Neurospora crassa OR74A: one gene and its partner. The main gene of each other region encodes a partner of the protein of the gene in region 2 in a complex. Links are inferred from orthologs where the notes say so. Each region holds a gene or a part of one and is shown on either strand. Other genes may lie near its edges.

Region 1 (2,642 bases), on a different chromosome or scaffold from region 2:
AGCTCCGCGCCGTGGTGGATGATGCTCGTGCGAGAATCGACGATCCTGAAGCCGACGAGGAGCAGCGCGGGGTGTGGCGGAGGATCGTGGATGTTTTGACGGGTCAAGGATGGACAGGCGGAGCAGCAGGCGGCGCGGAAGGAGGTGAAGGTAATCAGAGAGGTGATGTCATGCCTGGGGGTTGGGAAGATGATTTCGATGATGGATGGGGTGATGATGACTTTGAAGACGAGGATCACTGGTATGAGGATCAGCTTGATCCTGAACTCGAATTGGAGTTTGGACAGGGTGGCACACCCAACAGGAGGGCGACGGTGGAGGATGCGGATGATACCGACGAGGAGGAGACTGCTCGGAGGTAGATAGATGTTCCTCCGGAGAGTATAATTAGTGGAAAAGGGAAATAAATTACTGGAAGACTGCCATTTTGGACAGTGGTGTAGTAGCGAATTAGCTAAAGCGCAATGGCTGTTTCCATGAGGCAAATGCTGCTTGAACCATCGACTATTTCCATTCAGTACAGGACCAATTCAAAACATGTTGTGAAGCACTATGTACCTTTTCCGCACGGCGTTAGACCGAAACCCCTAACAAACTTCTGAGCCTTCGATATTCTACGACGCATAAACAACGACGGGCAACCCAAGGAGCAGCACAGGTATACATAGGTAGTGTATGTGTCTTCACGTTCGGTTTGAGCCGATCAAGAATCCGATGTCCAGGATCACAAGACATGAGACAGTCTCGGTGAGCAAGTTTCAAGCTCAGGGCAGTCCGTCGCTTATTTAGTACACCGACCGAGGGTTCGCTGCTAAACGCGGGTGGAGACACGAGTGTTACAGTCTGCGCGGCACTGTTAAAGCTTCGTTTGATGTGGCATTTGCAGCAAGAACAGGACAGTGGGAAAGCGGGACTGACGCCATCGCGCGACGTCTCACGCACCAACAACGGAAGCAACATGAATCCCTTCTTGGGAGATCTGCGGTTGACACGGAGTCCCCTGATACACCATCGCGAGATCATCTGAGGCGTAGCGGTACCAGGCAGGCGTACCTGACAGTAAGCACCACGCAATGAGCAAATTATTAAGCTTGTCCTCCATCTTTCCTTCCGTATCAGTAATGCGTCTCTATTGCAATCTGTCAGGTTCGCTTTTTCGCCCGTATCCCTGAGTGAAGTTACCTCGTTGTCTGTAGGGAGTTGTTCCAAGTTCCGCTCCTCCCATTTTGGCTCATTGCTATCCCAGTCGCGAAGCTTATTTAAAGTGCTGCCCCTCCCGACTCCAAGTCCGCGCTCCCCCCATTCCCGCGATCCACGAACACCTCACTTACTACTATTGTTGCACGTTTCCACACAACTGCCCCGCACCGCATCGCATACCATTGTCGCAACTTGCACTTCGATAAACTGTCATCTGAACACTGATATTACCAACCCAACAAACCCGTCAAAAATGTCCGGCTCCTACACCTACAAGTTCGATGTCACCATGACCTGCGGGGGCTGCTCCGGCGCCGTTGACCGCGTCCTCAAGAGACTTAAAGGTCCGTTGTCTCTGTCCATACCCCCGCTCCCCCCCCCCCCCCCCCAAGGTTTCCTTTTCAAATACATTCCGATTGCCCTGCCCGCCGCCCGGTACTAAAGAAGCATGCATAACTGACAATGACCAGAGAACGAATCAAACATCGTATCCTACACCGTCCTCCTCGATGAAAAGAGCGCCAACGTCACCGTCGATGACGAGTCCCCTGCCCTTTACGAAAAGATCCTCCGAACAATCAAGAAGACTGGCAAGGGTGTCAACTCCTGCGTGGAATTGGACAGCAATGGGAACAAGATTCGTGACGTGGATGTTGTGCTTAAGGACGAGTAAGGGCATGCAGGCAAGGACGATATACACACATCATATGGGGAAGACATTGGGGGCAACACCACGCCCAATATGGTGATCGGAAGAACATAGAATATGAATTAGAACAAGGGAAAGCAGGCGGTGGAGGAATTGTATAAGGCATACGAATGAATTCGGGCGGCTGAATTGCGCATGGCTTGGTTTAGAATATACCTTTTTGATTTACAATAAAGCTGTTTGTTTTAACGGATAACTACTGAGATTTGTCCATCTCGAGTGGCTATGCTATGTCAAGCTCGATGTTCCCATTTGAAGTCTTGTCGAAGTACTAATCATTCAGAGCTTGGACCTCGTCGAACACCTCAGATATAGCATCACAGCAACTAGACCAAACGAAGTGTTCAGAAAATGCATCAGAATCTATTCTACCCAGCTAACCCTACTCTCCCATATCCAACTTGATAGTAACAAACAAAAAAAGCAAACTGGTATCTCAACTCCCCGTTTTCCCCCCTTTAGTGCCTCATCGACTTTCCAATCTCGCTCCTCCACCCCTGCGCCCTCTCAAACCCGTTCGAATGCGTCTGGTAATCCACAAAAGCCTGGTACACCTCCTCCTGACTGTTCAGCACAAACGGGCCATACTGCACCACCTTCTGATCGAGCGGTGTTCCCGCAACCAAAACAAACCTCGCCGGCTTCTCCGCGCCCGCATCCACCTCGGCATAAACCGCCTCGCCCTGCGGCTCAAACACCACATTGTGGAATTGCTCCACCGTCCTCTTCTCGC
Region 2 (3,755 bases):
CGAACGAGAACGATGTCGCCGACCTGGATAAGCTCTGTAGGAATGACCTTCTCATCCGCTGCATTGCCTTCACGCGGCTCTTGAGAGTCGGAAGAGTCTGCGTTACGATCCCAACCCTCGGCAGCCTTTTGCGCCGCGATGGGGTCTGCATAAATGGTAGCCATCGATGGAGCCAAGGACATGAGGCGTGAGAGTGCCTTGGATGTCTGACCCTTGGCCCGATTCTCGAGGAAACGGCCAAAGGTGATGAAGGTGATCAGCATGGTACTGGTATCGAAGATGGTGCTCGGCCGGGTGTGCGGAGGAAATAATATTGAGACGACCATGGCGACAATGCTGAAGAAGAAAGCACACGAGGTGCCGAGAACAACAAGGACATCCATAGTCGGCGATTTATGTTTTATTGACTTCCATGCCGAAACATAGAAGCGCTTTCCGATGCCAAACTGAACCGGTATCGTGAGAACTAAGCAGACCACATCTCCAAGGTATAGACCTGGAATTAGTCTGACCTTGCCGAAGTCAAGGAACTTCAGGAACATTGGCAAGATCATGCTGATAAAGAAGACCGGGATAGCGAAAGCAGCCGAGATTCTGAACGCCTGCTTCCATTCGTTGATTTCTCGCGTCTTGGCGAGCGACTCCAGCTGGGCATTATTGTCATCATTGTCTGCCACAAGGGCATTGAAACCAGCGCCTTCGACGGTCTCGACAATAGCTCGAAGTCCTGTAACATTAGGTAAATGGGTGACAGTCAGCCTGGATGTCGCAATGGCCAGTTTGGCACTGGCGACTCCGGGCAGCGCAAGAACCGCATCTTCTAGCTTGTTGGCCGCGGCAGCGTCAATATTTCCATAGATCTTGAATTGTGCTGTCGAAGTACCCCCAGACTGACTGGGCTGGTCAAATGTACTGGTTAGAATCTTGGCATCAAACCCACGATCTTCGATGATCTCGACGATCTTGTCAGCCGGCAATAACGTTGGATCGTGCAAAATAACCGCTCGCTCAGCGAGAAGGCTGATGTTGAATTTCAGAACCCCGTTCACATCCTTGAATCCTTGTTCCACAGCTGAAGTGCAGGCGCCGCAAGTCATACCCTCGATAGCTACTGTCGTGGTCGCATTTGACGGTTGGGAGGATGTCGCCGCGCCGGGAACAGATTCTCTCTCGGGCTGCTTATGGACACTCTCAACAACAGTCGCCCCAAATCCGCGGTCTTCAATAGCTTCGCAGATGCCATCGGCACTCAACAGTGTCGGGTCATGCTCGATAACAGCTCTCTCGGAGAGTAGGGAAATGCTAAAATGTCGTACGCCGGATACGTCCTTGAATGCGTTTTCGACCGCTGATGTGCAAGCGCCGCATGTCATGCCCTCGATTGCGACAGTAGTGATCATTAATGGGGAGTCATCGGAAGCTTCCAGGTCTTGTTCGGGGTGCCTGGCGATCATAGGCGTCGGGAGGTCGGTGGCCAGCACCTCGGCGTCGAACCCTCGGTCTTCGATGATCTGTTTGATTTTGTCCGCGGTTATCTGGTCGGGGTCGTGCATGACCACGGCGCGTTCCATTACCAGGCTGACCGATACGCTACCAACTCCATTGACGCCCTTGAAGCCAGCTTCCACGGCCGAAGTGCAGGCGCCGCATCTGCGTGAAGTCAGTCACCATGTCTTCTCCACACCTCCGAGGGAGCCGAGACAAAGTCAAGTATTGTGCGACTCACGTCATGCCCTCAACCTTGAGGGTTGTGGTAGCCATATGCCCAGATGGGACTTGTATATATGCTGGTGCCATCTTGCTGGTTCCGCAAGAGCTCGTACAACGAGGCAGATGTTTTATCAAATACGCTGCAGCGCAAATGACATGCGGAAAGCGAGATTTCGAAGCGCAGTGATTCCGAAACAAGAGCCCCTAGGCTAAAACATAGGAGAAAAGCACGCTGTGTTCGGAGGGCGGCTCATATGGGAGACGACCCGGGACCACCGCTTTTGCGCAAAAGAGTTAAAAGGGTAAAGTAGGCGCCAGCTTCCAGCGATGGTGTTGGCGAAGTCGATGCAGTTAATATGTAGTGGAGGAATGAGTGTGAATAAGGACGGGTGTTAATATCGAAGGCATAGCGGAGCTTTCGGTACCGTTACATGAGACCAAATGGCGCCAAACCTGCAGCAGGGAGCTGGCAACTTTGACGAGGAACCCGGGAGAGTGGAGGGACGCAACCGGGGAGGGGGGGGTGGGGCTTGAGAAAGGAACTTTGGAAACATGAGCGGGAAGGGGTTGAGAAGAATCCTCCATCGACTGAAGGTTTGTCAGCCACTCACAGCGTACTTCTACGGTTCCTTGAGAATGCACACAGGGGTCTCTTACCACTGACACTTTCTCCTACCTATGGCGTGAAACGGGATCTGAGCGGGAGCCTTCAGGGCAATTCACGAAGTGGGGTGGGGCGAGATCCGAGTGACCGAGACCTACCGGACTGCCATTCAGTGCCCCTGGGACCCCGAGTTATCGTCAACAACCGGTATAGTAGGTAGGAACACAAAGTCTGTGCGATTCTTTCTCGTGGTATTGCGCCAGACAGGCGTCTATCATACATTGAACCAATACAGACAGAAACAACCCAGCAATCTCGTATAATCTTGTCCGAAAAGGTATCACAAGGCATCATGCAAGATAACATTGTACCTACGCAGGACGAGAGCCAGGACATATGTACCCATGTACATAGTCTATATGTTGGATTGCCATTGAGTTTTGGCCTGCACTTCTGACCTTTGCCCGATTAGTGATCATGGCTGCTTACCTTGCTGAGCTTACTTACTACGACACATAATCCTGATCTCGAGTCATGCTTCCCGTGCTATGGCTTGCTTGCTCAGCTTGACCGAAACAGTTGTGGTCGGTGTAACACAACACTCGGGCAAGAGGGGCTGAGAAATCCAGCGAGCTTATGGCCTCGCTTGATGGTCGAAAGGGCTGAGTAGAGTCACAAACTCAATTTCCATGCCGCATTCTGCTATATTTTTCGGGATTCTGCTTCACACTTCCAACAATCAAGAGGTCCAATATTGACGAGTCGTCACATGAGGTGCGGCTTGGATCGGCATTCATGTCCCAGTGCTACCTACGACCTGCACCTCCTTGTTAGAAACCCGCGATTTTTACCGATCGCACCACTCACCAACGCAAACAACAAAAGCCTCTCAACGATTGGACCTTTCAGGAATTGCCATGTGAACTCCCCGATCATAGAGGTACCGATAGGATGGCACCAAAGAACGTACTGCCTTCAGCAACACCACAACATGGGAAGGGTCTTGGGAATAGCGGGAGTGTCTTCATCGCCACGCTGTATGAACCACGGGCATACTGTGCAACACTATATTTTGAAAAGGAAGAATCAGATTGAAAACTGGCAGTTCACATCTTCAGAGATATCGTGGCGTCACGGCGATTACTCCTGATCTCTTTGTCTAGATTTCTCCACTTCAAACGCGTTGCCATCCCGATGTTTCAGGGGACCCCTTGCGCCTAGATTCGCAAATGCTGGTCACCAACAGGCGCGGCTTGTCGTTTCAAAACGTGACTTTGACACAGCCAATTTGGCGCCAAAAGTGCTCCATCAGCACAGCAGTCTCAAGAGCAACAAGAAAAGAGAGAGACGTACAAGAGCTGGGAAAGCTAACCGCTACCTCCGGCTGCGAGAAACACCATACCATGTACACATTAAGCATCAAAGCTGTACTGGGATTACA

The links. The genes of interacting proteins can lie anywhere in the genome.
Region 1: the proteins of NCU08341 (region 2) and NCU03368 are in contact, whole or in part, in an NMR structure (PDB 2GGP), measured with the Saccharomyces cerevisiae proteins. The link is inferred for Neurospora crassa OR74A from reciprocal best matches to the Saccharomyces cerevisiae genes CCC2 and ATX1. Residues at the interface, in NP_010556.1 of Saccharomyces cerevisiae: Cys13, Ala15, Cys16, Thr19, Gln23, Glu60, Asp61, Cys62, Gly63, Phe64, Asp65; in NP_014140.1 of Saccharomyces cerevisiae: Thr14, Cys15, Gly17, Cys18, Ala21, Lys24, Val25, Lys28, Lys59, Lys61, Lys62, Thr63, Gly64, Lys65.

Annotation. Positions count from the first base shown.
Region 1 is NC_026502.1:943,204-945,845, reverse strand, and holds NCU03368 (hypothetical protein), read left to right. Parts: upstream 1-1,053; 5' UTR 1,054-1,453; coding exon 1,454-1,544; intron 1,545-1,670; coding exon 1,671-1,873; 3' UTR 1,874-2,127; downstream 2,128-2,642. Other genes in the region: NCU03367 (hypothetical protein), read left to right, coding at 1-362; mig-8 (pirin), read right to left, coding at 2,368-2,642. UniProt on the Saccharomyces cerevisiae protein: Copper homeostasis factor that specifically transports copper to the secretory pathway for incorporation into copper enzymes destined for the cell surface or extracellular milieu.
Region 2 is NC_026501.1:5,687,984-5,691,738, reverse strand, and holds the start of NCU08341 (CLAP1), read right to left. Parts: upstream 2,230-3,755; 5' UTR 1,798-2,229; coding exon 1,727-1,797; intron 1,651-1,726; coding exon 1-1,650. UniProt on the Saccharomyces cerevisiae protein: Copper-transporting P-type ATPase necessary for the proper uptake of iron. Required for export of copper from cytosol into extracytosolic compartment.